Linked DNA regions of Mus musculus. The main gene of each other region encodes a partner of the protein of the gene in region 2 in a complex. Links are inferred from orthologs where the notes say so. Each region holds a gene or a part of one and is shown on either strand. Other genes may lie near its edges. The genes, in order: Dpf1, Smarca4, Arid1a, Phf10, Arid1b, Smarcd2 and Smarce1.

Region 1 (4,700 bases), on a different chromosome or scaffold from region 2:
ACTCAAGCCCTGGAAAGAATATCCATACACTGGGAAGGCACAGCCACACCCTCAGCTCTACTAGATAAAGAAGACAGAACCAGACTCCAATACACTGGCAACCCTTAGGAACACTATGGACCCTCATAAATACCTGCATGCATAGTAGAAAGGCAACTAGACCCTCAGATATACCCAAAGAAAGTTAGATAGACATTTGAATAGGATACACACAGACACATAGGCAGGACATGCAGAGAGATGTCCGGCCACACAGGGAACACAGCTGACCTTTGAACACAGCTGGACACACAGAAGAGATAGGATTAAGCCCTTGGATACAGAGATACTCAGAAAGAAATAGCCAGAGCCACAGAGAAATCTAGACCTTCATTAATTAGGAAGACAAAGGTACGCCCTATGGTACACCTGGACACTCACAGACAACCCCGAGGAGAAGCACTCAAATGTGTCCACATGCTTACACAGAGAAACCCAGTCTGACATACAGGGAAAAACACAGCCGGCCAGCTCTCCAGCACCCTTGATACAAGGAGACCTTCACACACACACACATTTGGACAGAGGAAGAGATGAAACCAATGTCTGCCTATCCTGAACACATTGGAAAACTCCAGAAGAAACACCTAACACAGAAAGGCTGTCACAGATGGTACCCCAACAGGATGCCCTGATGGAATCAGATATGCACCCAAAAGAGATAGACAGACACGGACCTACCCCCCCCCCACACACACACACATTTTCCCACACATTTTCTCTCTTGGAAACACCTAGAAAGAAACAGGCACCCTAAAGCACTCAGCAACAAACAAGTCACAAGTAGACGCCCTGAGTGGCTCTCAACCTTCCTAAAAGTGTGACCCTAAATTTAATATAGTTCCTCATGTTGTGTTGACCCCCCCAGCCAGAAAATTATTTCGTTGCTACTTCATAACTGTAATTTTTTTATAGTTATACATCATAAATGTAAATATGTTGTGCATGGTCTCAACCCACAGCTGGAGAACTGTTGCTAACTCTTACAAATACACAGTGAGACAGCCCTCAGCACCCACAGAAAGAAACACAGTCAGACACAGGTGTATCCCAGCTCCCTGGGAAGCACATGCAATCAGCCTTGATACATCTAGACATAGATGACACCATGTCCTCCAAACACCTGCTTGCCATGACCCACATAGCAGGTACAGCTGGCAACTCAGTCACTCAAAGAAAGTAACTCAAGACATCCGGGGACAGATAGTCTGCTGGAGGGACACTCAGGATAATAAAGACGAAGTTCAGCCGGGGAGCAGGGAGGGCTGAAGGCCTTGATTGGGGCCACAGCAGGCGCAGGGGACACAGCTCCACCCACCGATCTTGTACTCGCAGGGCCGGAGCCTGGGGTCCTCCAGGATGTTGAGTCTCCGTTTCTTCCTCCAACAGCGGGCGGGGTAAGTGTAGATCTGTCCCGGGGCCAAACCTGGAGGAGAGAGGCTGTGAAAGTGAGGTCCCCGGACTCAGGCCCCGCCCCACCCCAGCCTCGCGGCGAGTACCAGGCCCGCGGTGGGTCTTCTCCATCCAGATGTAGCAGTTGTTCTGGGCCACTCCGGTCTGCGAGTCGAGGAAAGGCAGGCGCAGGCTGCGCTCGGCACACAGGCGCGCGTTGTAGCTGCGACAGTGCTCGATGGCCTCCCGGTAGAAGTCCTCGCCAAGGCTGTGGGGGCGGGCGAGCAGCGGGCGGGCGGCTGTCAGCAAGGGCTAGTGCAGGGAGGCCCAGCACCCTCCCGCGGCTGCCCGTTCCCACTGCTCCGCAAAGGGCAAGCCGGCCAGGTCCACCTTCACCTCCCCCATCTTCTCCCACCCCTCTGGATCCGGGGGCGGGGCAGGGTGCTGGCAGGGAAGCAGCTACCTAAAACTTGATTATGTCTCGGGTTAAGAAGTGTTCACAGACAATATAAAAACAAACCAAAACATACCGGGACCCATCCACACATGAACGTAGCCAAACACCCAATACAAACAAATCGCACATGGCCACACGGGATTCACACACAAAGAGAAACGTATCCCAATCTTCACAAAGGAGTAGCAAACAAATTCTCTCTGTCACACAGACACACATCTCTTGCAGAACACAAATAATCCAAATCAAAAAAAGCCATAGAACTACCTATGAATGTCATGTATCCAGAGACCCAGATGGTTCCAGAGACAGCTTATCCACAAAGACCCACAACATGGAAACACACCACACAACACTCATCCCAACAGTCACACAATGTCAAAAGATAGGGACCCTATAAACATTTACATATGCGCTTACATATCCATCCAAAGACACTCCAGCCAAACACACAATACAAAGACATCACTGAGATTTTCAAGGGTACACATACACAGAAACCCCAAATTTAAAATGCATCCCCAAATACACAGGTACACGCCTTGGAAACAGAGGGGCAGTCAGGTCTGCTCATGTTCACACAAAAATTTAGACCTATCCTCACACGTCCATATCCAAAGACACAGAACATAAATGGTGCAGATTCGCCAGACATGTGCACACACTTCGAGACCCAAATACTCAGATAGGTAGTGCAGAATAAAAGAAACCCTATACATACCCACACATTCAGCTACAAAGCAAAAAGCAATGTATAAGTCGCTCAACACACTCCACACCCCAAGACAAAGGTAGCGTGGATTCGAGTGTACCCAGGCCCCAGCTTCCCTAGACCATGTACCCTCTCTCAAACCCTGGCATCCCTGGGAGGGGACATGACCCCTTTCCCCTAAAAATCCTTGGAGACCCCTCCCCCACGCCCTCTCCCAGTCCTGGAGCAACGCGTCGGACATCATTCTTGCTAAACACCCTCAGTCACATACACTCGCACCCCCGCACGCGGTGACAGCCCCCTGACACCCCACCAGCCCCACCCCCAGCGGCCACACACATACACACGCGCGCGCGCGGCCGCACAGACCCGCCCGCGCCGACTCCCCCGCCTCGCGCCCACCCGCACCACCTCAGGGGGCTGGGGATGACCGTGGCCATCTTGCTCCCCGGGTCCTGCCCCCAGCAGGTCCCTGCCGGGTCGGTCCTCCCAGCGGTCGGGCGGGCGCTGAGGCCGCCCATCCATTCATTCCCAGGGGGCGGGAGCACGAGGATCTCAGCCAATCAGGATGGCAGGGCGGGCCGCCCAGGCCATGCCGGGAGTGGTAGTCCCTAGCGGGTCCTCCGACCCAGGGGGTGGGGTGGGGGAGGGATGGAGGATCTCGCAGTCGTTCACACACGCTCACTCACACGCACTTCCAGCCCCACGTGCACAGACGCATGCACGCACACACGCGCACATGGCAGCTTACACATAGTCACACTACACTCGCAGACTTCCATTCACCCCACCTTCACGCACAACCGGCCACAGGCGCGCGGGGACCTCGCAGGTGCCCACCCAGCTGTGTCACCAGCACGCCAAACGCCACCTAGCACTCCAAGCTGTAGAGAACCCATCGTGACTGAGAGATGACTCTCGCGGCCACCCCAGTCCACTCCTACGAAGGACTACAGAACTGCCTTCCTTCTTCCTGGCCTCAAATCCTCGCTTGTGGGACTTGGTGCGCATGACTTAAGCTAAGCGTTCTGGGCCTGTCTCAACGGACTGAAGATTACAATAGCAACAGGGTAAGTGACTGTTTTAGGGACAGCATCTTGCTGTTCAGCCCAAACTGGCCATTTTTCCTGTCTCTCCAAGTGCTGAAATTAGTGTGTGACGCCATACCAGGCAAGTGCTGGAATTAGTACCTGGCAGATACCTATAAATTCATTTATTCCACCGAGAAGATATCTACAAAGAGGATCTGATATGTACCAAGGCATAAAGTGGTTGCACTGTTATTAGGAAGAATAAATAGCCTGCCTTAGCAGGTGTTCAACAAATATTTGTTGAGTGAATACTTAACACTCACTATGTGCTTAACACAGCTCTCTCCAGGTTAAACCGGACTATCCTCATTTTCTAGAGAAGGGCTTTGAGATCCTGGGAGGAAACCTTACCTGTTCTCAGCCCCTGGCTGCTGTCTGGATATAGAATTCGTGTGCCTGCACACGTCCCTACAGGATCCTCCTTGCCTCCTTTTCTCTCCCACACTCTACCCTAAGAGATCCCCAGAGAATGAGCTGACCTACTGAATATCACACACACACACACACACACACACACACACACACACGACTCACACTCAGCCCCACCTCTGGGGAATAACTTAGCATTCTGATTAGAGTGGCAGCATAAATTAGCATATCAAGTGTTAATACAAAAAAAATTCTTGTCCAGCAGGGGGCGGTCCACCCATCATAAGTCTCAAGGTTTCCCGCACTTCACACACACAATACACCTCTAGACTGCTATAGCTCCCTTCCACAAATGTCCCCATCCACCCACCCACCCACCCATCTCAGGCGTCCCCCGGCACTGCAGGGTGTCTGATTTACGTCCTGCCCAGGAATAAATAAGGGGTGTGGGTACCCCTCACATAGTATCATCTCCAGACCATGCCATGATACGTCCAGTCTCCAGACCCAGTATTGAGCTCAGAGGGTCCTTGTCACAATCCTCTGCCACCCTCCAGATTCCCAGCACACCAACTTGATTTCGCAGCTCTACCTCAGCCCTTACACTCAGATCCTGTCACCTCTGAAGCCCAGGCTACTA
Region 2 (3,956 bases):
GGAGGCAGTGACACTAAGATAGGAACTATCTGCTTTCCTCTACCAATGCATTTACCTGGTGGGGATTCCAGTCACTGTCAAAGATGATCACAGTGTCAGCTGACTGCAGATTCAGGCCCAGCCCCCCAGCACGGGTACTGAGCAGGAAAATGAAATACTCAGAGCCAGGTTCATTAAAGGTTTTCAACAGCATGCCCCGGTCTTCTGCTTTTGTGGTTCCTGATAGGCACAGGAGAAGAGGGTTAGGAGGGTGACAGGGGTGGTGTTGCAGGTCACAAGAGCCACAGATATACTCTATAGATTGTAAAGGGTTAACCAGACAGCGACTTGGAGGTACAGCCTGTCATTACCAAATGCTGCCATACTCAGGAGATTTTAAAAAAAGGAAGGAGGGGGGGTGGGGACAAGACCAGCTGATTCCTGTAGGACACAAGCCACTGGAAGAAGAAGATGCTGGCAGGCTCTTGGGCTGCCATCTCTAGGTGCAATGCTTCCTGACACTTGTTCCCTCTGTTCTTTATGAGGAGAGACACCACATAGCTAAGAAGGCTGATGCCATACTCTGACAAGGAACACAGCATTAGTGGCATAGTGTGATGAGATGAACCACTAGCCACAGCCTTGGCATGTACCCTTAATTCTCTTGCAGTAACTTTGGTTAGCGTAGAGAAAAATCTATACATAAGAGCTGTAACCACTGAAGCCTTCCTTGGACTCCTAGCTCACAGGGGGCTAATAGGCCTACACCTCATACTTGCCACACAGTGTTCCTTGACCTTCTGCCCACTCCTTGAGCAGTCTTAACACCGCATGCAACACTCACAGCAGAAACCAACAGATAAAAGTCCTTAGGCTCCTACTTGAGCAGACAGGGATCTGCATAAAGTAGGACCTGGTGCTTACAAGGACAAAGGAGGCAGCTAGAGGTCCAGCCATTTGGACCTCAGCAGTGTTTGGCCAGCACTGAGCTATGTGAACATTCAGAACGGGATGGTGGTTTAGCAAAGGTGGTCCTGGAGCACCTAAGGAGGGGCTGGGGCCAGATGGATGTATGGGAGTTCTGGTCAGCACATTCTAGATGAAGCTCCATAGAATCATACAAAAAGATGAAGCAATCAAGTTCAGGTTGTAAGACGCTGAAGCATCTTTAAAATGCAGTATAAAATGAAAAGGTCCAGGGCACAGAGAGATGGGACAGGAGAGGCAGAGGTCTAGAGTAAGGCACTCCCAGCTTCTGAGCCCAATAAAGGCTCTGCAAGGAAAACAGAAAGCTGATAAGTCTTGTTGGTTCTGAGGTCCTCCATTGTGTCTTCCCAGGATGACAATGTGGGACACTAACTCCAGGGCTTCCCAATCATTTGTTCTGTTAACAATGCTGGCCTTTTCCTCCCTGAAGTACTTTGTGGAAAGTAGGGAAGGTGGAAAGACATACTCTGGCAACTGGTACACAGAGCCTCCCAGGCAGTGCAGGACCTTGCCTGCAAGCGGGCTAGGGTCCCACGGCAAGTGAGCATCATTCAGCTCTGGGCCAGGCCTGTTACGGGACACGGCAAGGTAGCTGGCTGGGAGTCGGGGAAAGCTTTGTTTCTGTTGCTAACACTGAGCAGTAGCAGAGTCTATCTAAGGATGAGGCCCAGAGTACAGGAGAACTTCATGGAGATGCAGCTCTACCGGAGCAGAGAACTCTCAAGGTTCCACATTGGCAGGGCTCTTATGTTCACGCACACATGATAACTTTGTGTAACTTAAGCGGAAATGGCAGTCAGAACCCACACTACAGAATACAGCACTGCAGTGAAGACTCTAGCAAACAGGAGACTAAACACCTTCAGGCCCTCCTTCAGGTTCCTGACAGTTAGGATGTCCTCAGATTCAGGGTATACTCTGGACTTCAAGTCCATATAACCAGGTCAGGAATGAGTATCTCCAGCAAACTGCCCTCTACTCACCATCAAGCCTGAGGTATTTGAAGCCACGGTATGCAAAGTAGTCTTCCATGATGGTCATGAGGGAGGTCATTTGGCAAAAGAGGAGCACTTTATGGTTCGTTGCACGGAGTTTGGGTAGAATTCTATCAAGAAGTTCAAATTTCCCTGAGGCACGGTAAAGGTCCAATCTAGTCCACGGAGGGAAGAAGGGAAACATTCAGTCCTCAGTCACACGCCTGTGAGCTCAGAGATGCGTGCTGCATCTAGGCTGCTGGGCAGATTCAAGGAAAGAAGTGGCTTCCCGAGCAAGGCCACCCACTGCTACAGCTGAACTCTGGTCACTGTTAGTCAGAGTACATTACCAATGACTACATATGTCCATGTCATTTCACCAGGTCACAAGGAGAATAAAAAAAGTGCGATCAGACATGACGCCCAGTGGGCTGGGGAGTTGGCTCAGTATTGGGTGAAGTATTTGTCCTGTAAGCTCACTGACCTGAGTTCAGTCCCTAGAACCTACGTAAAGGTAGAAAGAGAGGAACGGTTCTACAGAGGGGCAGTGCTGAGCTGGAGCTGCTTTGAGGATGGTGGGTCTGCTACCATAACATTAGAACAGCTCACACTAGGAACAGACTATAGACTAAAGAATCCTGTGTACCACAGTGAAGCACTTGTCTAGAATAGTGAGGCCCTGGGCCCAATCTCCAGTGCAGCAAAAAGCACTGTCACCCTCCTAATTAAATGCCATGCCCTTACAGGTAAAAACCGGGGCTGGAAATGTAGCTTCAACTTCAAGAATGTCTAAAAGAGGAAAATGGTGATATTCTAGAGATGGCATCCATGGCCAACACCACTGACTTCTATAAGTGTGGTCTGGCATCACACACCTATGGTCCTGGCACGTGGAAGGTTGAGGCACAAAGATTCCAATTGCTTCAGGAAGAAGATGATTAGCCACCCTGGGCTACATAGTTACATACATACCTAGCTCACACATTGAGACTGTGTCCCAACAACCCAAGAGAAAAGAAGTGGACCCCGCACTTGAAGCTGCAGGAAAGGTGCTCACAGGGTATCAAGGGCAGAGCGGGTGGATTGAAGCTCAGGGCTAACAGAGGCTGCTTAGCATTACACTGTGGGCAGTGGAGTTTAGGTCTGGAGGCCTCAGATAGCAGATAAATGCTAATCACAGCAACAAAGCCACTGAACAAGACTATAACCCCCCTAGCAGACTGCTACCCACTCTCAAGAGCTGGGAAGCTTCTCACCCTTGCACGATGCCGCCGGTGAACCCCAAGTGCTCAGAAAAGGACTCCTGCAACAGGACAAGAGATGGATCAGTGCCAAGGCAGGGAGGGACTGCCCAGTCAAGCCCATGGTCCAGGCAGCTACTGCAGAGGACTGAGAGGTCACACTGGTAGTTATCTGTGGCCTGCAGGGCACAGAGTCCAGATGTGGATGTCCAGCTTGGACTCAGTGCACCAATGCCAACCCTCATGCTCTTCCTGTGAAGGATGGGAAGAAGACTATGTGATATTAGGCACCAACGTCAACACCTCAGACCACCCTGAAATGGAACGCTAAGGACTCAGAGGTCTTGAGTGACCCTGAAACTGTACACTAAGAATACTAACACATGCTTGCTTTTTAGGCAAGAGTCGAGATTCTCCAAAAGCACAGTTACTCATGATGACCGTGGCTGTGGTCACAGACCTGACTGATGTCTGTCCATCAGCACTTCATAACCTGCAGGTAAGAAGCCCTGACAGAGACACGTGTAACCTCAGGAGTGGGAACACTTCCCAAGGGAGGAGTCCCCAAACACGCAGAAAATACCTACAAGGTGACTGTTTTTTAAAGATGTATTTATTATGTATACAGTGTTCTGTCTACATGTGTCTACAGGCCAGATCTCATTAGAGATGGTCGTGAGCCACCATGTGGTTGCTGGAAATTGAACTCAGGACCTCTGGAAGAACAGCCAGTTCTCTTAACCTTTGAGCCATCTCTCCAGCCTAGAGGTGACTC
Region 3 (3,956 bases), on a different chromosome or scaffold from region 2:
TCCAAGACCAATCTCTGGGGGGAGAGGACGGCATTGGGGCCTAGGGTTGAGAAGGGGTCCTGGGCTTCAGCTGAAGGGCAAACTGCCCAGTGTAGGAGTCCGTCCAGGACAGGCAGGCAGATGCTCTCAGGATATGGGGATAGGTCCAATTGCCCCGAGATGTTGGCGAGGGTGACCAGCGTGTTTTCTCGGAGCATCTCCAAGCAGTCCCACCACCACTCCACTTTGTCACAGCTCACCCCTTGGTCCTGTTCCTCCTCCTTCTCATAAGTTAGTGGTGCCTGCTTCCGCTCTGGGTGCTTGTGGTGCAGCAGGATCAGCTTGCCCAGGATAAGCAGCAGCCCTGGGTGTTTGGACATCTCAAAGTCGTTGCCTGGCACAAACGACAGGCTCCGGATGGTATTGGAGACACAGACACAGCGCTTAGCAAGGGAATCCTGCCAGTCCAGAAGGGTACACAGTGGGGTCTCATCCTTACTATGGGGTTCATCCTCTAAAATTTTGATGTTCCGGTGGCTCTGTGCTGGGCTAATGCCAAATGGAAACTTGCTGCTTTCCTTGGTGGCCTCTGCACTCTTTGCCCCCTCATCAGTCAATGTGCTAGACCGGGTAGACAACATGTCATCCATGGTGGCTGTGATCCTTTTCTCTGGAAGGCCATCGGGCGGGGGGCCCTCCTGCTCCGTTGTCCCTGGTGTGCCCTCTACTGTTGTGAGGTGTTTCCGAGGGGGCGTTGGGCAGGGCACATAAGGCCGGGAAGGCAGCAGCTCTATCTTGCTCTCAAAGTGGGTCTGGATATGCTCAGTGGTATCCCCACCACCAATCCGCCAGTGTAGCAGGCCACTGTCAAACTCCTGCACGCGCCCAAGCTTATCTGAGCAGTCCACCACAAATGGGTCATTCCTCTGCACGATCTTTACCGGAAGCTTGTCAAACTTACTGACTAGCTTCTCCTCATTATTCTCTGAAGATGGCTTGTCCTTGCCCAAAAAGGCCATCTCCTCATCATTTCCAACCCCTTCTTCCTCTTCCTCCTCCAGTTTAGGATCAAGGTGTTCTTCCTCTTCTTCCTCTGTATGGGCTGGACTATACACCTTGGTGAATCTCCCAGGGTCTAGTAATGTTCTCTGTCCTGGGTCCCCTACCTCATACTCCTTTAAAATGCCAAAGATTTCAATTAGGCATCTACGGAAATATTCCACAAGGAGCTCTAGCAAGCCTGGGAGCTGAAAGAGAGAAAAAAAGGAAGGGAAGAATTCTTGACAGGAGTTCCCAAGATCTTATCCAATTCATATTTATTCTCTCTCTCCCCTCCCCCCTCTCCTCCCCCTCCTTTCTCTCCCAGGCAGAGCTGTCCCATGCTAAAGGCTTCCCCACCACACCGCTCTTTACAGTTCTCTAACCATTTCCTTCGTAAAGAAGGGCAAGAATTTTTCTTTGACCCAAACAATGGTCACATAAGCCTGCTTCCAGCAAGACAGAAATGTGAGCTACAATCTATACCTCCCCTGACAGTTACACCCAACCTCTTCGAACACTTCTTTCTGAGTGTGTGTTGTATTTTTCACTAGGCATCTGGTCACTGCCAGCGTTTACCTAAAGTGGCCTCTGTTATCTCATGGCCACATGGGGGCCAAGTCTTCAGCAGGCTGGGATGACCCCTTTCCAACACGAGCTAGAGAAGGACTGCACTGCACTGTCAACAGATGCTCATCTATTCCCCACTAGTTTCTAGTCACATTAACACTTGCCCGAAATCCATCCATCCACCTCATTATTAGAGTTGTAAAGATCTTGGTTTGAATACTGCTTTTCCCAGAAATTAGTTGTATGAAATGGTGATAAATCCCTGAGCATTATAAAGTTGGTTCTGGTATATAGGAAGTGAGCAAAATCTATCCCTTACTTTCTGGTGGACAAGACTATCACAGAATGGAAATGTGCTGACCAGCTATGGTCAAAAAACGGAATCTGAGGTTTTGGGAGACCAGGGAGAGGGTGCACGCCTTTAATCCCAGCACTTGGGAGGCAGAGGCAGGCGGATTTCTGAGTTCGAGGTCAGCCTGGTCTACAAAGTGAGTTCCAGGACAGCCAGGGCTACACAGAGAAACCCTGTCTCAAAAAACAAAAACAAAAAAACAAAAACAAAAAACAAAACAAAAAAAAAACTACACACACAAAAAAACAAAACAAAACAAAACAAAAAGACTACGACCTGGACATGCTAGTACATGCACTTGACCCAGCACTCGGGAGGCAGAGGCAGGTGGATTTCTGTGTTCAGGACCCACACAAAGTATGTTCTAAGCCAGTCAGGGATACAGTAGTGAAAGTGTTTCAGAAAACCAAGATGACTCTGAGCCCATTTACTCAACTCTCCTATAAAAATGACGTGAAACAAAACAGTAATTAAGCAAGAGCACAGTAATCCAACGAAGCATCCTTTAGTCGGCTCCTCCATCAACAAATCAGCAATAGTGACATAGGCAGTGGAAATATGTCCCCCAGGGTCTATCTTCTGTAAGTCTGCCATCACCATAATAATAGTAATACATATTTCTTTTAACGTACAAGATCTCATGTGTCCCACGTTGGTCCTAAACTATCTATATAACCAAAGATGACTTTGAACTTCTGATCTCCTACCTACACCTCTCAAGTGCTAGGATTATGTGTGCACCACTACACCTCATTTATATGGTACTATAATATAAGCCCATCTCTGGGCCATGACCATGTTAGGGAAGCACTTTACCATCTAAATGACAATCCCAGTTTCCAGTCTTGAAGTTCTTTTTAATTAAAGAAAACAAGAAGAAAAAGAAAGAAAAGAAATGAAAGCAGCACGGTGGTCTGGGCACACGCCTTTATCTCAGCACTTAGAAGGCAGGGAGATCTCAAGTTTGAGGCTAGCCTGCTCCACAGGACTTCCAGGATAGCCAGGGCTAAACACAGAAATGCTGCCTTGAAAAAAAATTAATAAACGAATGAGAGGAAGCATTATGGGATGAGGGGAGATCATTTTTGAAGTCATCTTTCTATCTTTTGATGTATGGGAACTGAACACAGGCTCCAGTGCCAAGTGCCTTTGCACACTGAGCCATCTTGCTTAATCCTTACCAGTAACAAAGTTTCCCCCAGCTGTGCAGAACCTTTAATCCCAGCACTGAGGGGTTGGGATAGGGAGAGACCCTCTCTCATAAAAGGAAAGCAAAGCCCCCGCTGAGCATGGCACTTTATAGAGAAGAGGGCAGAAGCAGCACCACACACTCTATGGCTGCCTCCATACAGGTAACGTTGTAACCCTGTCTCAAAACAACAGACCCTAAAGAACAATGAAACCCTTTCTCCCAAATAAAACTCTGACATGACAACCAGCTCGCTAAAGAGAAACCCTGTCTTGAAAGCAGCAACAACTGAGTTGCCAGCACTGCTTCCAATTCCAACCCCACGTGGGGGGTGGGGTGGGGTCAAGGCACGAACACTGCAAGCACAGAAGGTCTCCAGCACAGTGACAAGGGCCAAGAATGGCTTCGTTCCTGCTGTGCCATAGTGTTATCTACATCAACAGTACCCCCTCACCTTGCCCAGACACCTGTACTCACCTGGCTGAGGTTGAAGGTCATAATGCTGTTGTCATCATACAGTAGAATGTTAATGGTGTCTAACGCCCACGTGCTCTCTGCCAGGAGCCCGGACTTGAGGGACATCATTACCCGCCATGCCTCCGGGGTTCCTGAAATAAACCTCTGTGTTGTCCATCCACCAAGCCCCAGCTGGCTAGAGGCACCCCCAAGGCTGGTCCATTAGTCAGGCTAGTCTGACTTCATTGCTTCTAAGCTGTCTAGGGCACCAGCATATGGCAGACAGAGCCTTGAAGAAAAACCTGAAATCAGCTTATTTCTTCCATCCTCCAAATTCTTTGGCTTTCTTTTAGTAAATACTGTGCCAGATTT
Region 4 (4,385 bases), on a different chromosome or scaffold from region 2:
AGACCCTGTCTCAAAAAAACAAAAACAAAAACAAAAACAAAAACTGGGGTAGGGGTGGAGAAATGGACAGAGAAGTAAATAGACATTTCTCCAAAAACATAAATCAAATGATCAAAGAGCACCTAAAAAATATTCGGCAAGCACCACTAGCCATGGTATACAACACAGAATCACAGTGGGTGATCACCTTATGTCTTTCTGGACGCCTATCAGCAAAATGAGCAAAAATAATGTTGCAAGGTGTATTGTTGGTGGAAATGCAGACTGGTACTACTGCTATGGAAATGTATGGAAGGTCCTTAAAAAGTCTGAAGACAGAATCAACGTGTGGTACAGCTTTCTACTTCTAGTTATATACCAGAGTATTAAGAACAGGGGTCTGAATGCCAGTGTTCACTTCAGCATTAACTACCCCAGCCTGCAGGTGAATGAGCACAATGTAGCAGAACATACGATGGAATATTGTTCAGACTTAAGGAGCTCCAACACGATGAACCTTGAAGATACTATGGTTATGGGTAAGCCAGATAACACGGGGCAGGTACTGTCTGGTTCATACTCAGGGCAGGAAGTAGAACTGTGGTAACCAGCAGCTGGAGGCAGGAAGGGATGGGAGGTACTGGAGGGTTAGGCAGTTTGAGTTACTAAAGTTTTGGAAAGGGCCGAGAGTGATGGTTGTACTGAAATATACTCTTTATATATAAAAAGTGTTACAATGGTGAGTTTTATATACCTACTTTACCATAACTTTTTAACAGTTATCAGGAGTGAGACCTACTTTGATAGTATATGACTTTTTTAGAAGATTTGTTTGTTTGCTCTCTATACAGACATTTGTGGAGGCCGGAATGGACCATGAGATCCTCCAGAGTTTACAGGAGCTTATGAGATGAGATGTGGGGCTGCTAACCAACCTCCAGTTAAGCAAGCACTCTTAACTTCTGAGCCATTTCTCCAGCCAACACATATAATTTTTAATAACTGTTTCTGCTGCCTGGAATAGGCAGGAGAAGAAGAAGTGAGCAAAAGTCTACGAAAGTTACTACTGAACCTTAAAGTACCTAAGATCTTGACTTGAAGTCTCACAACTTCTTGAGCTGTCTCCTGAGCCCATTCGCCTCCTTTTACATGGATGGGTCCCATCATTTGAGTTATCTTCATTATCATCCTGTACATTTAAATGATTAAAAAATTAGAAAATTTAAGAATGAATAAAACTAAAATCTGACCTTTAATCGAAATGAAATTAAATTTTCAACTGTATTTTAAATGTACTCTGCTTTCACTTTCTTACCAACTAGATTGTGTTCAAACATCTGCTTTTTAGTAGCCACACCACTTTAAAAATCAAAGCAAGCCTTCCTATTTGAGCTGGGAAATAAATACTAGTAAGTTTCATAGTACCCTTCAGCTTACAACTGGCCCCCCGGAGGCGCATTTTAATTAGCTACTTTGGAGATGAAGAAGGACTGGATACAGGTTACCACGTCTAACTACATTCCTTTTCTTCTGCGGCAGAAATTCAACACTTTGTGATAAACTCATAGGAGATATAGGTTGTTGAGCCATTCCATTAAGGAAATAAGTAATCAAATGTTTTAAAAACAATTCATTACGTTAATTAATAGGCTTAAACTCCTATTTTTTTTTTAAATCAAGGTACTATAGCTCCTAACACTACTACTCTTACTATAAATTTCAATAAAGGCCCACGGAAGGGAATGAAAAGGCAGCACAGGCTAGCATGCCAAGTCAGCATGGCACTGCGGGCTGCCAGAGAATCTTACTGAGCACTGCCCTCCACCAGCTGTGTGCTGCAAGCTTCTCCCCAGTCCTAAAGCCTAGGTGGCTGATGCAAGGATGCAGTGAAGTGATCACATAAGAGCCAGGTAGCACATAGCTGTCTGATATATGTTAACGTTGTGATTAGCAGTGACTTTATATTTCATTATGTCTCCAGCACCTAGGAATTTACTAAAATTACTTTCCAAATTAAAAAAGAACATAGAAATCATTCCCCTTTTCACTCTTCAAGAATGAAATCAAGTAGACTTAATATTCCCTTTTAAAGCTAACAATCAAGAAGTTGAAAGATAATTAAATTTCTTAGTATGTTTTTCACTGTATTCATGGTCCATACTGGCTTGACACCGTTAATTTTAAGCACTATTTTATTAATTTGTGGACATTTTAAGGATTTCTGTATGTCAATACTTTTACTTAAAAACAATGATCCTCTCGAAAAGAAACAATAACGGAAGTTGACACAGAGTTTACCAGCTCACAACTGTAGGAATCCTAAGGGCTACGTTCCAGGTAAGGCCCTCCCCTCCGCACCATCCTCGGTCAGGACAGGGAGCCAGCAGCCCCCTGCGAGCAGTCAGAGACCCCACCAGGGAGGACCGGCACGTGGCGGGGGCCACCTCGGCTGGCCGGGTCTGTGGGTGTGAAACCACGTTCTGCCAACTCGGGACCCCGAGCGCACGTCCCGCTCAGCGTCTCCCCGACTGAGATCCCCAAGGCCGCCAACTTTTCCGACTTTCCCAGGCTGGGGGCGCTTCGTCTCAAGCACTCTTCCCGAGTCCCCCGGTCCCAGCTATTCCCGGACAACTTCCCACCCCGCCGCGCAGGTCTCCCCGACGTCCGCGCCCACTGTCCGCCGCACTTGTTGCTCCAGGACCCGCCGCCCGGTCTCCTCTTCTCTCCCGAGCCCGGCCTGGGCCGCTGCCCCTTGGGCAGCGCGCTCCGCTCACCTTTGGGGACTGCGCTCCGGGGGAGGCCGGGTCGCTGTCGCACCGCCCCGGGGACAGCGCCGCCCCGGGCCCGGCCGCTGCCATCAGCCCAAGCGCCCCGCGCCTCCGTCGTCGTCGCCGCCTTCGCCTAGTCCCAGCGGCCGCCGCCGCCGCCGCTGCCGCCGCTGTCGCGCGGGCCGCCCGGCGCCCCGGCCCCGCCCCCTCCGCCCGCCCGCCCGGGGGCCGGCCCCTGCCGCCGCGCGCCCCGCGGCCCGCCAGCGCCACCGCCATGGCCGCCAGCGCGCTGCCGGCCGGGACCCGCACGCCGCTCACGTCAGCCGGCCGCAGCTGCGCGGCTCCGCCGGCCTCGGCCGGGGCCTTGCCGCCTTGCCGCCTTCACCCGGCGCGCCGCGCCCGGCCTGAGCTCCGCTGGCCAGCCACCGCCTCGGTCCCGGCCCCACCCGGGTTCCTGGCCGCCTGGCGAGCTCGCTGCCGCCCCTTCCCTGCGCCCCCGGCCCGGCCCTCCGCGTCAGCCGCGGCTCCGCGCCGCCCCGCCCCGCCGCGGTCCCGCCCCCTCCCCTCCTCCGCTGCGCGTCAGCCGGGGGTCCTCAGTCGGCGGTGCCTGCCTTGTCCCCACCTGGGTCCCTAGCCCCTCCCCTCAAAGATGTGTCTTCACCACGCTTGTTCTCCAATCCCTCCCCCGTACCCAGCTCCTCCCCTCAGCCCGGGGTCGCCACCACGCCGCCGTGTCCTCCCCACTCCCGATCATCAGCACCTTAGCTGAGGGTCCCTACCGCGCGGTATCCTCCCACCAACCCCACCCCTACCGGTCCCCAGCCCCTCCTCTCAGCCCGGGGTCTCCACAGCCGCGGCGACCTCCCCTTCTCCACCAGGGTCCTCGCTCCCTTCTGTAAATGAAGGATTAGTGTCCTCAGCCCACTTCCTCCTCTCTCGCAGCCCTTAGGGTCAACCACCCCAGGAGCTCCGCCTCCTCCCTCTTTGAGATCCCCTTCTCCTGAGTCCTTTCTGACTTCTCCACCCCACCTCTCCATCTTCACTCCACACACCCCAGGATCCCCAAGGCGCTCTTGGCTCATTTGTTCTACAACTGCTTCTCCTGTGACCTTGGCGTAGTGGCCCCCATGGCCACGGGAAAAGTCACAGCAGCACTCAGGTTGAACGGAACCCAGTCAGGCAAGGAGAACATAGGGAAGGTTCCCAAAATCATATGACAGAGTCAGCACAGTCACCTGCAGGACACAGGATTGGGAATTCCTGGAAATGGAAGCCAATTGTCCAATGGTGTTTGGACAGGATTTATATTGATGTTAGTGCTTAGACTTCGCCACAGGAAAGGCCGTACCCCACCCTTTGAAAAGAGCACCAGGAAGACAACAGGTCCAATGGACAAAGGCAAGGGGCAGAGAGGCAGGCCTACATCCCCCACCCCCCATCCCCTCCACTCCCCACAACACTTCCAAGAATGTAGGGGACCAAACCAGAAAAGGTGGTGGTGATCTAGCTCTTGGATTTTAGAATTCGAGTTCCCTTTCACAGCCACAGCTTCTAGCTCCAGAAAGTAAGCCCAGCACTTCTCTCCTCCTTTGAAATATATATAGTGTATCCACATGAAGTATAGAGCCGACAAATAAT
Region 5 (4,469 bases), on a different chromosome or scaffold from region 2:
TTTCTATATGCTACAAATCAAAAAAAGACATGTGCTTTAGCATTTCAAAGAAATATTCATTGCCTCTTTTGGTCAATTGTTCTCTACAAAAATTCGTTTTGTTTCACAGGTTTTGGAACACACCAGTTGTAAGTAACACTCCTCGTCCACATGACCATCTTAAAATGGTCGCAATTATGAGAACACAAATCACTAAAAATGCATAGCTTTATTCTGGCTCTAAGCTAATTAAGAATCACCAATTATATAGCTTTCTTCTGATTTTTAGATAATTAAATATCAGTAAGAAATGTTATAGCATTTCAGAATACTGAAATCTTAATGCATTAAACTGTAAACTGGTAGGATTAAAATATATTCAATTAGATCTGTAAAAAGCAGACTTTTATAAAAAAGCTTGACGAAGCCCAAACTGGTCCAATCTTTGCATTAATTATTTCCCAATGCTCCTATTTTCAGTCCACAATTAAAGCCCACAATAAATGTAATGTTCATATTGTAAGATTTGTCATCGAAGACCCAAGTTTTATAAATGCCTAATACTGGACAACAGCATGTTTCTCTGTATTCAATCCTTTATTACTAACTATGATTCATAACAATTTAAGCTCTAAATAGTATTCAATCTTCCATGTGCTTGGAATAGAGTTCAGTTATTATTTGTGTCAGGAATTTTTGTGACTGTACTGCTCCGCACTTCTATTTACATCAGCAGTGCTAAATGCCCAATGGTGAGAGGGGAGCCAATCAGATGGCAGATTAGATGTCAACTCAGAGGCAGCTGTCTGGAGACTATTACAGCCAGTTTACCTCCACAATTCAAATTCCAAACCTTGCAAAGGAGAGATCAAGTCAGTCTTTAGGCTCAGCCTACTAGCAAGAAACAGCCAGAGCGCAAGACACTTCCTAACAACGCTGTTGGACTTGGGAGACAGCAAAATCAAGAAAATCCACTCAAATACGATCCACAACGACCCATTTTCTCTGGCCTACTACCTTACTAGGTTTGCTGAATAAAAAAGGAAAACCTAACCCATGATCAAAATAAGTTCCATCGATCCGGAATCTATTCCTTCAACATCGCCTCCCGGTTGAAGGTGACTCCTTCCAAGGAGCCCTTAGCCCCATAATGGATCTCTCCCCAGCTATTCTTAGGAACGAATCGATGTTATTTTACAATATTTCGCCTCCGCCCGTTGTAAATCTGGGTCTTATTCTTGCTGGTAAACATCCAAACTCCACCAGCCACGGCTGTCACAAAGCTAACCTCGGTTTTTGGGTTTTTTTTTTTTTTTTTTTTTGGTTTTTTTTTTCCCCCTGCCTCCTCCTCGCAAGGGGAATGGGAAACCGACCGAGGCCCGAAGAGAGAAAGTTCCTCTCTCCCCGCGCCCACTCAGGGCACACCGTGGGCGCCGGCGGAGTCAAGCCGGGCCCCGGAGCCCGCTGCCCCGAGAGCCCTCCCCGGGCGGGCGCGGCCTGGGGCACCGAGGTCCCGTCCCGGGCCTGGCACGGGAGCGCAGCGCGCAGCAAGGGCGCGGGACACCCCGGCTCCCCAGCCCCGCCAGCTCCGGCCCCGGCCCGGCGGCGCCGCGCCCCCGCCACCCCCGCCAACCGCCGGGAAAAGTACCCGGCGAAGAAAGAAAGTCGGGCTCGCGGCGCGAGGCCCGGGCGGAAGCAGGCCCGGCCGGGCGCGGGGGTTACCTGGGATCTGCCCATGGTCGGTCCGGGGGTGCCGGGGCTCATCGCCGGGTGACTCCTTTGTTGCGCGGCCGCCCAGGCCGGGCTGGCAGCGGCGTACTGGGCGCCTAGGTCCTTGCCCAAGCCCATGCCCGCGGCCGCCTGCTGGCCACCCGCCGCCGCCCCCGCCGCCGCCTGGGACTGGGGCTGCGACGGCGGCGGCGGCGCGCTGGAGCTGCTGTAGTCGGGGTAGCTACCGCCGTAGCTCCTCATCATGGGGCTGGGTGAGGTGAGCAGCTGGTTGAGGGTCGGTGTAGCCCCCGACGGGTGCTGGTTCTGGCCGGCGAAGCGCTGGAAGCCCCCCGCCGCCGCCGCCGCGCCGGCGGCCGCCTTGCTGAGGCTCGCGGCCCCGCCGCCCCCGGGGCCCATCATCATGCCGCCGCCCTGCTGCCGCGGGGAGCTCAGCACCCCGTACCCCGAGGACGAGCTCCCATAGCCGCCGCCACCGCCTCCTCCTGCTGCTGCTGCTGCTGCCGCCGCCGCCGCGGCCGCCGCCGCCACAGCTCCGGCTCCTGCTGCCGCTGCCGCTGCTCCTCCTGCTCCTCCTGCTCCTCCTCCTCCTCCACCTCCTCCGCTGCCTCCTCCTCCTCCGCCGCCGCCGCCGCCGCCGCCCGCGCCGGGCCGGCTGTAGCCCGGATAATGGTTGTACTGGCTGTTGGGGTACCCTTCGTGGGAGTTCTGCAGGGGGTCCATGCTGCTGGGGGCCCCGGCGGCGGCAGAGGCGGAGTGCATCATCCCCATCCCGGGGCTTTGTTGTCCGCCATGTTGATCAAAGCAAGGCCCAGCGCGGCCGCCGGGGCCGCCGCTAGCAGGGGCAGCGCTGCCATAGTAATTATTAAACTCCGAGACGGCCGCTGGGCCGCCGCCGCCCCCGGGCACGGCGACCGGCGCGGGCTGCTGCTGCGCGCCCAGGCCCGGGTGCTCATAGCGGCTGCCCGCCGGCTCCCCCATCTTGGGCGGCGCGTCGTCCTCGTCGCCCGGTTTGCTCAGCAGAGGCTGGCCCTGCGGGTCAGCCTGATTGCCCGCGACACTGTCCTTGGCGCCTCCATGTTGCGGCTGCTCCATGTCCGGGCCGGGCTGAGGCGCGCCGCCGCCCGCACCGCCCAGGCTGTTGTTGGCAGTGGGATGCTGCTGCTGCGGCGGTGGCGGCGGCTGCTGCTGCTGTGGCTGCGGCGGCTGCGGCTGCTGGAACTGGTTTAGCTGCTGCTGTAGTGCGTGGTGGTGGTGGAGGTGGTGGAGGTGGTGGGCATGGTGGTGGTGGTGGTGGTGGGCATGGTGGTGGTGGTGCTGCTGATGGGGCGGTGCAGCGGGGGCCTCGCCAACGGCTTTCAGTTTGTGGTTGGGGAGCAGCCCGGTCTCCATGGTCGAGCCGGGGCCCGCCGAGGAGGAAGAGGCCGCGACGGCGGCGGAGGAGGACAGCGCGGCGGCGCTTCCACCCTCCTTGAGAGCCGCCTCGGAGCGGCCGCTCTGCGCGCTGTTGGAGCTGGCGGCCGCCGCGGCGCTCGCGCTATGGGCCATGTTCAGGTCGTGACGGGGGTGCAGGGGGTGGTGGTGCACATTATTCAGGCCGCCGTCGCCGCCCCCCAGGATGGGGCCCGGAGCCGCCACCGCGCCGCGCGCGCCCGTCTCCAGGTCCCGGGCCCCGGGCGCCGGCCGCGGCCCCGAGGGCGCCCGCCGCTCGCCGCTGCCCGCCCGCGCCCGCGCCGCCGCTGCTGCCCGCGCGGCCATGATCGCCGCGGCGTGGCGCGGCCGGGCGGGGTGGGGGGAGACAATGTCCCCACTCGCAGCCGGCCGCCCCTCCTGCGCGCATCCACGCGGCCCGCGGGGAAGCGCGGTGCCCTCCCCACCCCACCCCCCGCAGCCCCGGGCCGCCCGCCGGGGGCGCGCCTTTGCGCTCGGGGGCTCGCGCCCGCTACGGCCTGAACGGGCGGAAAGTTTTTTAGTTCCGCTTGCAATGAAACTTTTCTCTCTCCCTCCCTCACTCTCGCTCGCTCTCTCTCTCTCTCTTTTTCCCCCCTCTCTAACCCGGATATGGGGGGGGGGGGGAAATGCACGACTTGCCTGAGCCTAATCGGGCCCAGCGCGGCGTGAGGGAGCCGAGCGAGCCGGAGCAACTATTATCCGCTTCTCTCCGAGGGCTGCTGCGCACTCGCAAAACGCGGACTGGACTCGGCCCCGGGCGCCGCCGCTGAGCGCACGTTCGCCCGCCAGCTCGCCCCGCTCACCCGGCTGGTCTCGCCCGGCCTGGCGCGGAGGGCCCGGCCCGGGGGAGCGAGGGGAGGGGGGGGGGAACCGGCTGCCGGCGCTCGGGGCCCGAAGCTGCTCGGTCCCCTCGTGCCTCCGGTCTCCCTGCCAACCCGCGCGCGGCCCTGTGTTTGTTTTCACGTCTAAAGGGAGCGGTACGAAGGTGGAAAACGAGTCTGAAGAGCAGACAAAAGAGGGAGAAGGGGCTGGGAAGCAAAGTTGTCTGTTGGGCCTCAGAGGTGGCGAGGAGCCGGTGGAGAAGAGAAACACTCAGGCAGGCCGGGCAAAAGCACTCGGTCTCTCTCAGGAGTTATGTAATTTTTCACAACCTTGGCCTCTGCGCCTGAATTTCAGGCCATCGGCTTAATTCCCACAACTTCATCCAACTGAGAAATTATGAAAGACTTAAGTGAAGGTTAAGCAGCAAAGACTGCTGTGCCGTGTACACAGCAGGCACTCAATAATTGCTTATGATTCACCACTCCGAT
Region 6 (4,632 bases), on a different chromosome or scaffold from region 2:
CAAAACAAAACATGCTCTGCTCTCCTCCAAATCTGTAGCCCTGGTCCTTCTGATAGCTGCCTGAACCTAAGAGCCTCATTTGGAGGACATACCCTGACCCTATGAACAGAGGTATTTTAAACTCTGAGCTGAGTGAACCCTGCAATAATGCACACTAGGTTTTGTTAAGCTCTTCAGGGTAACTATACTCCAAAACTAGAAAAAGCCTCTAGAGTTAGGTGGGCTATCAATTTACTTCAGCAGGCTCCCCAATATGCTCATCTTGAGCACACAAGTCTGCTCACCCCAAGAACTCTAACCAGGAGCCCCTCTGGCCTCAGATCCCAAGACTTGCTGGAAGTTGGACATGGGAAGAAGCAAGCGGGATCTCCTTCAAACTCAACCAATGCTAACTGGGTTCTCCTTCCCTCCTTTCCCCTGCCTTTCCCTGGAGGAGGAAGAGGAAGAAGAAGAGGAGGAGGAGGAGGAGGAAGAGGAGGAGGAGGAGGAGGGGGAGAGGAAACATAGTTGGTATGGGATGCCCAGATTCAAGGCTATCTCCTTTCTCACAACTAGCAGCCGCAGCCATTTGGCTGGCCAGCCTGGCCTCAGCATAGACCCAAGGCTACTCTACAAAATATGCAGGAATCCATCTTCCAGTCTTCAACAGGGGCTTTCCCAATGGCATGTTCTCTATCAGCTGCTTTCCAAGGAAATGGGTCTACATAGTGAGTTACAGGACAGCCAGGACTATATAGAGAGACTTGGAAAACCAACCAACCAAACAGACATCCCCAGTGCCTGTAGGAAGCTTCCAGACCAGCTCTAAACAAGCAGAGCCAAGGGCTGACGCAGAGACTCATCAGTGATATACTAGGCCCATGAATCTCCAAAGAAAGCCACATGGGAAAGATAAACCCCGCTAGTATCCTTGGAACCACGTCTATCTCTGTTTATACCCAAACTCGTCATTTTCTTTTTAGATAGGAGTTGAAATGAAGGGGGTCACTTATCCCCACTCCGACCCCCAGTTAGGTATCTCCTGGGTATCTGATTCCTGGGCTGGAGAGATGGCTCAGTGATTAAGAGCGCCGACTGCTCTTCCAAAGGTCCCGAGTTCAAATCCCAGCAACCACATGGTGGCTCACAACCATCTGTAACGAAATCCGATGCCCTCTTCTGGTGTGTCTGAAGACAGCCACAGTGTGCTTACATATAATAAATAAATGAATCTTTAAAAAAAAAAAAAGAAATCTGATTCCTGGGTGGAATATGCATACATCATGAAGATCTATTTCTGAGACTTCTACCTAGAGACACCAGCAGGGGACAGAGCAAGCTACAGTGCACACCTCTCACCTCTCTGGCACATAGGTTGAGAGACATATGGCCTTGTCAGGAACCTGAGGGATAAGGAAAGAGAGGTTGGGCGTGATAGTGTGTGACTGTAATGCCAGACACTTGAGAGAAAAGAGTTCAAGGTGGGCTTTGGCTACACAGCCAGCCTGGACTATATGAGACCCTGTATCAAAAAGCAAGTAACAAAAGTGACAAGGATGTGGGAGAAGGATGGGCACAATCCCCAGGAAAGGAGGTGCAGCTCCCTGATACAGCAATCGTCTGCCACGTGCAAAGCCCTGCCTGGATTCCATGCTCAGCACCAAAATGCAAAAGCAAAACAAAATTCCCAAACATTCTGGAGCCACTTGAACCAGAGCTCTGGGGAATGAGGAGCGCCACATGCAGAATCAGGCTGAGTTCCCAATGCACTGACCACGGGTCCTGTCTCTGCTTGTCAATGGCCTTTGATGCTGCAACCTGAGACAGCTCTCTGCCAAGACAGAAGGGTCAGGGCAGTACCCTGTGCAGCCCAAGACCAGCAGGACTCCACAAAGCCTCCCTGCTCCTCCAAACTTTACTGGACACTGGCATCAAGAAGGAAAGCCCCGTACAGAGGATATCTTGAATGGTCTGTTAATGGGATCGGGCCTTCTTCAGACCTGGACACAGCTATTTCTAATCTATCCTGGAGTTATCTGGGCCCAATCTCTTTAGTCTCCCATTTCGTAGGAAGCCTGGCTTCCTTCCTCCTCAACTTGAGCAGCTGGGAGCCATCTCAGACATACTAACGCTCTGCCAGTTCCCAACTAGGAAGAAAAAAAAAAAAAAAAAGAAAGAAAGAAAGCCAAGGCAGAGATGCAGTGGGACCGAGGCCAAAGAAAGAGTAACCCTGTTTTCTCACTAACGACCCTCTTCCAAATTTTCCTCACCACATCCCGGGTCACTCCCTCACCTCCACTCCGGGACCTGTCTTACACTTTCAACCTGATTGCCCACAATTCTCTAGATCTCACGAAGCCTCCATCTCTAAGTTACTCGGAGCCAAGAAGCCCCGGGACTCCTCTAACTGCTCAAGCCCTCCACCGCAGAGGGCTTTCACCCTTTCCCCAACACTGCCTCCAACCCCGAGCCACTAACCAAGGGACTCTGGCCTGCCCGCCACCAGCCCTCGACAGTTCCTCCTGCAGTGTCCCCTGGGCCGCCTGTCCTCACCTGAGGCCCCAGGGAGACCGACACAGCGCCCTCGCGGCGCCGCTCGCCTGCCCTCCTCACCTGGTACTGCGCCGCGGGGCCAGCGGGGCCCATGGGGCGGAAGGCGGCGGCCCCCGGTACCCCCATGCCTCCAGAAGGCCCCGGGCCCCTGAGCGCCGGGCTGGGCAGCATTCCGGGTCCCGCAGGCGGAGGCGGCGCACCAAGGGCCGCGGCAACGGCGCCGCCGCCGGGGCTCAGCGGAGGCAGCGGGAACCCGCCCGCGCCACGGCCGGACATCACTCTGTCCCGTCCCGCGGTGCAGCGATCCGGCCTCCGGTCTCCGTGTTGAGTCCGCTCCGCGAGCTACGTTCCGCGATCCGGGACTTCCCGATTTTACTACCGGGTTCCGGGATCTTCTACTCCAAGTTCGCAAGTTCTTTGCAGCCCGGCTTTAGGATCCCGCGGCCCCTCTGACTCCGCTCCTGCCAGGGATACTCCAGATCCGGGATGTGCCGCGAGCCCGCAGGCCTCTCCCGGCCTCCGGAGGTTTGATCGCCGGAGTCCAGTTACCCAGAGGCGGTTACGAACTCCCAGCCCCGCCCAACCTAGACCCTGCAGGCCCCGCCCCTGCCCGGCAACCCAATCGAGAATGCCTCTTTAAATCCCGCCCTCGCGAGACCCGCCTCAAACCAGCACCTCCCATAACTGACGGCCTTAGAGCCCCGCCCTTGGGGGAGGCGGCCTTTTCCCGGAGGAGCGGGAGCGGAAGCTGCACGCGGAAGCGCGGAGGAGAAAGGCGTGGGGTCAGAGTTCGAAGGTCGCGTAGGGCCGTCCGAACTGTTAGGTGTTTGCTGTTTGCTCCGTAGTGCTGCTGCCTCGGCGAGATCCCCGATATGGCCCATCCAAAACAGTTCCGTCAATTCTGCGTCTTCAAGCCTTAAAAATAAGCGATCCGCGGCGGGAAAGCCGCCAACCACTTTTTAAGAGCCCATCTCGGGGCCGGTGGCATAAGGCACCCCACACCCACCCACCCATCTACCCCCAGAAGCCTGTATTGGTTGCTCCGCGCTTCCAAGGACATGGGCGGCCCCAGACGTGACCCAGCTGAGTGAAAGCTTGGCTTGGCCCAACTCCGAGTACTTAACTGCACTAACTTGCCCGTGCCTTTCTTTAAGGAAGCCTGGTAATTCGCAGAAAATGTTTTTAGGTGAAGGGATTTTGCATGCTGAGAGAACTCCAGGTACTGAAATAAGTTTTATCCAGTTTGTATAGGACTTAGTTTTGAAAAGTTGAGAATCAGCCGGGCGTGGTGGCAAACGCCTTTAATCCCAGCACTTGGGAGGCGGAGGCAGGTGGATTTCTGAGTTCAAGGCCAGCCTGGTCTACAAAGTGAGTTTTAGGACAGTCAGGACTACACAGAGAAACCCCGTCTCGAAAAACCAAAAAAGAAAAGAAAAGTTGAGAACCTTTTCAGAAACCACTGGCTTCGGCTATGTTATAGACCTACCCTCTGTCAATGTGGTATCTCCTACCCACGGTATAGAATAGTGCTACTTAACTAGGCACTGAAAATCCTCAGAATCAGGTTGGGGGTGTAACTCAGGTTATAGCGTGCACAAAGCCCTGGGCTTGAACCCCAGACTGCATCAACTACATGGTGGTGCATCCTCAAAATCCCAGCACACAGGAGGAGGCAGGTGGGCCAGAAGTTCAGGATGGTTCTCAGCTGCATCACCAGTTGATTCTACAGGAGACCCTATATCAGAAGAAAGCCGAGCTTTTTGTTAAAATGTGGTTTATGGTTCAATGAAATGGGGGCAGGGTACAAGATTCTGTATTTCTTTTTTGGTTTTTCAAGATAGGATTTCTTTGTGCAGCCCTGGATGTCCTGGAACTAGGTCTGTAGACCAGGCTGGCCAAAGATGACATAGGCTTTGGTCTTTTGACTAAACTGCTTTTGTTAACTTGTCCAATAAAGAGTTGTCCTGTAGGTGGGTTGATCTCACTTGTGTGCCACAAAGCTTTTGAGCTTTCAGAGATGGTAGCAGGTCCCAAAAATGTCAGGGAAGCAGGGTCTCGAGACCAAAGCCAGCATGAATTACTTATATGAAAAGTAAGGTC
Region 7 (3,191 bases), on a different chromosome or scaffold from region 2:
CATGCTTTTTACATAGGAGCTCAGGTCCAATCTACTCAGCTTTCTCTCTAGCCTAGAATGTTAATAAGTTTAAAAATATTGATAGATAACACTGAAATATTTTCTGGAGACTTGGTTTAAACGTCACATTAAAAGGAAGCCAGAAGGGCTGGTGAGATGGCTCAGTGGGTAAGAGCACCCGACTGCTCTTCTGAAGGTCCAGAGTTCGAATCCCAGCAACCACATGGTGGCTCACAACCATCCGTAACAAGATCTGACTCCCTCTTCTGGTGTGTCTGAATACAGCTACAGTGTACTTACATATAATAATAAAATAAAAAAAAAAAAAAAAAAAAAAAAAAAGGAAGCCAGAAGCGAGAGGCAGCAGCAGCAGAAGCTTCAGCTACTCGGAGGCTGAGGCTAAGATTGCCCTCAGGAGTCTGAGGGCAGCCTGGACAACGCAGTACAGCAAGACCCTGCCTGAAGCACACAAAATAAAGGCACAGAAAGAAGCTGAGCCACTTTCTTAGGAAGCTGAATACAAGGTTCTGACATCTCCAATTTTTTCCTTCGGTTCCTCCTCCTCTTTCTTTTCCTTAAGCTAGAAGACGGACATCGGAGTAATAAACACCCTAAACATCCAGATGCTGTCAGAATAGACAGACCTCATTCGGGGCAGAACAGACTCAAGACTGAGAATATGGCCTGGCTGCAAGGTGAGCAAGGAACCACACTCTGATTTGCAAGCGTCTGCGGTAGCCACAAAAATGTGCTTCAGCCCCAAATTTATGGTTGGGAAAAAAAAAAAAAAAAACCCCAAAACCCCCCCAAAAACAAAACCAGGTTCACAAAACCAGAAAGGAGCCCAGACAATGCTGATTAAAACCAGACTGTCTGAAAAGATAACCTGCTGAGTTAAACAAATAGTGTATAAATGCATGGTAGAGATTCTCAAGTTTCATTAAACATTGCCAGGAGTTGCTGTTTGAGTACAGAGAGAGTATGCCCGTGTCCCTTTTACCAGCAATTGCTAGTGTCCCCTAACTACCTTTGACCTGCTCATGTTTATCCATTATCAGGGTCAATAGTGCCAACAGGCAAGGTGATCTCAAAAACGCCAAGGTTAACCAAAGTCATCAGTATTTGATCTAAGTTTTACCTTTCTTTTCTTAAAAACAAAAACCAACCCTGAACCATGAGGAATGCCTTTATTCAGGAAAACCAAACCATTGTTCTAGGGCGAGGTTGGTCGGCTACCAACATGTAAAGCTTAGACAGTCATCACTGTAGGCTTTGTGGGCCAGGAAGTCTGTCTCAAGTCCCAAACCATACACACACAGGTACAGATATGTATTATGCATACATGTACACATGTACATATACACATACGTCTATGTGCATGTATACGTGTATATATTCATGTACACACACACACTGCTGTCTCCTCAAAGCTGTCACATACAGTGTGGCAGTCAAACTTTACTTACAGAATTATGGAGTAAGACTTGGCTTACTGCTTTACTTTGCCCAATGCCATCTTAGGACAAAGACGACATATCTTGGGAACAATGTTATATTTTATGTAAGTAGTAGCCGTAAAGGTTAAAATATTATTGCCTATTATCCTATGTCAAATCCGCAGCAGAGTGCACTCATGGAGGCAGGTGTTGTTCAAATGAGGAGATGAGACAGAAGGCTCAGTAACGTCACTGTCAGCAACGGGCACACAGGCAGGACCCTCCACGTCTGTCTCTCTATCTGCAGAGCCACACCCACCCACCTGGGTACGACAGGAGCTCAGACAACAAGACTGACACCACTGGGCTGCACTGTGGAGCCAGCAACAGCAGCAGTGAATCTACTATGGAGAAAGAATAAGACTGGAGTGTCGCAGGGAATGACTGAAGGGTGCAGACTGTTGAAAGGCATCCAGGCAGGACAGCCAGAAGGCAGCTGTCAGGGCCCTCACCCCTCCTGGGTGTGGAGGAGGCGGTTACCTGTCTCCATCGGGATGCTCTCCTCATCTTTCTTCTCCTCGGCTTTGTTCGCCACTTGCTCTTCCTCAGGGGCCATGCTGCTCTGACTGCGCTCAGCCTGCTCTGCTGCCTCCTTCTCCCTCTCCTCTTGCCTCTTGCGGGCTTGTTCCTCCGCCTGTGCGATCTCAGCCGCAATCTTCTCCATGTCTACTTCCACCTTCAGACCACATAACTGGTTGTGAAGAACACATCAGTGAGCTCAGCATGTTTTCTTCCGAGAAACTCAGAATTAAGTAAGTTGTCTCCTGGCTTATGTAATAGTATTTACATAGGGAAAAGGAAAGCAATGGCTTGTCCTGAAGCGACGGGACAAAAGAGCTGATCTAGCCACCATCAGGCATGCAGGGGCAGGGGCTGCTGGGCCTTCTAGGACTCGGCTAGCCTCAGGACCTCCACTCACACCTCAGTTAGCAAACTTGGGATTTACTTATTTATTCAGTCATTGAATTTTTTGGCTTGTTTTGCTTTCTTGAGATATATTCTCTCTATGTAGTCTTGGAACTCACTATATAGACCAGGCTGACCTTGAAGTTGAATCCTGCTTCCTCTGCTTGGGATTAAAGGTGTGTGCCACCATGCCCAGCGAGACTTACTCAAAATGCAACTGAACTACATCTAATGAAGACATCTATGAATAAATTACAAAAAAGTGAAAATAAATTACAACTACAAAGATTTTAACAAAGCACTGGAGGGTTCTATTACCTGAGGGCCTAGTCTTTATATGTATACATGACACTGCTAATTTATTATAAAGATAGTAGAGTTTGTGCTGTGATGTTAGTATTGTTTCAAAGTGACCAACACTCAATAGAAACATTAAGAAAAATAGCAACTGGCGCATGATAAAGGTAGTCAGTGAATGGAACGGATACCCTTTTAAGTTCATTGTTAAAGGAGTCCGTGCTTTCCAGGAATTTCCTCTTCTTTTCCTGGTGTCGTTCCTCTATCTGAAGGAGCTCGGCTTCTAGTTTCCGCTGTAAGGTGTCAGACCAGATATGTATCGTTATGAGTTTTCTCTAAGGCAGATGTAAAGTGCAGAGAGCATGCCATTTAAAGATATTACTTTCAAGTGTAATTTGACATTTCCATCGTGTGTACGTGCGTGTGGGTACGCACACCAGCGCAGGAGCCCATGGAGCCCAGGAGAGGGCACCGAATGGCCTGGATCACAGA

What was found.
Region 1: Smarca4 (region 2) and Dpf1 share a complex: the UniProt entries of both Homo sapiens proteins name them as parts of the neuron-specific chromatin remodeling complex. The link is inferred for Mus musculus from reciprocal best matches to the Homo sapiens genes SMARCA4 and DPF1.
Region 3: Smarca4 (region 2) and Arid1a share a complex: the UniProt entries of both Homo sapiens proteins name them as parts of the neuron-specific chromatin remodeling complex. The link is inferred for Mus musculus from reciprocal best matches to the Homo sapiens genes SMARCA4 and ARID1A.
Region 4: Smarca4 (region 2) and Phf10 share a complex: the UniProt entries of both Homo sapiens proteins name them as parts of the neural progenitors-specific chromatin remodeling complex. The link is inferred for Mus musculus from reciprocal best matches to the Homo sapiens genes SMARCA4 and PHF10.
Region 5: Smarca4 (region 2) and Arid1b share a complex: the UniProt entries of both Homo sapiens proteins name them as parts of the neuron-specific chromatin remodeling complex. The link is inferred for Mus musculus from reciprocal best matches to the Homo sapiens genes SMARCA4 and ARID1B.
Region 6: Smarca4 (region 2) and Smarcd2 share a complex: the UniProt entries of both Homo sapiens proteins name them as parts of the BAF complex. The link is inferred for Mus musculus from reciprocal best matches to the Homo sapiens genes SMARCA4 and SMARCD2.
Region 7: Smarca4 (region 2) and Smarce1 share a complex: the UniProt entries of both Homo sapiens proteins name them as parts of the BAF complex. The link is inferred for Mus musculus from reciprocal best matches to the Homo sapiens genes SMARCA4 and SMARCE1.

What each region holds. Positions count from the first base shown.
Region 1 is NC_000073.6:29,306,410-29,311,109, reverse strand, and holds the start of Dpf1 (zinc finger protein neuro-d4), read right to left. Parts: upstream 3,041-4,700; coding exon 3,012-3,040; coding exon of another isoform or gene 2,944-3,011; intron 2,865-2,943; exon of another isoform or gene 2,618-2,864; coding exon of another isoform or gene 2,610-2,617; intron 1,700-2,609; coding exon 1,539-1,699; intron 1,466-1,538; coding exon 1,358-1,465; intron 1-1,357. UniProt on the Homo sapiens protein: May have an important role in developing neurons by participating in regulation of cell survival, possibly as a neurospecific transcription factor. Belongs to the neuron-specific chromatin remodeling complex (nBAF complex).
Region 2 is NC_000075.6:21,671,330-21,675,285, reverse strand, and holds part of Smarca4 (transcription activator BRG1), read right to left. Parts: intron 3,244-3,956; coding exon 3,197-3,243; intron 2,117-3,196; coding exon 1,950-2,116; intron 220-1,949; coding exon 56-219; intron 1-55. UniProt on the Homo sapiens protein: ATPase involved in transcriptional activation and repression of select genes by chromatin remodeling (alteration of DNA-nucleosome topology).
Region 3 is NC_000070.6:133,680,830-133,684,785, forward strand, and holds part of Arid1a (AT-rich interactive domain-containing protein 1A), read right to left. Parts: intron 3,737-3,956; coding exon 3,606-3,736; intron 1,227-3,605; coding exon 1-1,226. UniProt on the Homo sapiens protein: Involved in transcriptional activation and repression of select genes by chromatin remodeling (alteration of DNA-nucleosome topology).
Region 4 is NC_000083.6:14,958,358-14,962,742, forward strand, and holds the start of Phf10 (PHD finger protein 10), read right to left. Parts: upstream 2,904-4,385; 5' UTR 2,838-2,903; coding exon 2,754-2,837; intron 1,169-2,753; coding exon 1,062-1,168; intron 1-1,061. UniProt on the Homo sapiens protein: Involved in transcription activity regulation by chromatin remodeling. Belongs to the neural progenitors-specific chromatin remodeling complex (npBAF complex) and is required for the proliferation of neural progenitors.
Region 5 is NC_000083.6:4,993,725-4,998,193, reverse strand, and holds the start of Arid1b (AT-rich interactive domain-containing protein 1B), read right to left. Parts: upstream 3,100-4,469; coding exon 1,702-3,099; intron 1,270-1,701; exon of another isoform or gene 1-1,269. UniProt on the Homo sapiens protein: Involved in transcriptional activation and repression of select genes by chromatin remodeling (alteration of DNA-nucleosome topology).
Region 6 is NC_000077.6:106,269,901-106,274,532, forward strand, and holds the start of Smarcd2 (SWI/SNF-related matrix-associated actin-dependent regulator of chromatin subfamily D member 2), read right to left. Parts: upstream 3,073-4,632; 5' UTR 2,809-3,072; coding exon 2,593-2,808; coding exon of another isoform or gene 2,533-2,592; intron 1-2,532. Other genes in the region: Tcam1 (testicular cell adhesion molecule 1), read left to right, coding at 3,734-3,751. UniProt on the Homo sapiens protein: Involved in transcriptional activation and repression of select genes by chromatin remodeling (alteration of DNA-nucleosome topology).
Region 7 is NC_000077.6:99,211,144-99,214,334, forward strand, and holds part of Smarce1 (SWI/SNF-related matrix-associated actin-dependent regulator of chromatin subfamily E member 1), read right to left. Parts: intron 2,993-3,191; coding exon 2,891-2,992; intron 2,188-2,890; coding exon 1,977-2,187; intron 1-1,976. UniProt on the Homo sapiens protein: Involved in transcriptional activation and repression of select genes by chromatin remodeling (alteration of DNA-nucleosome topology).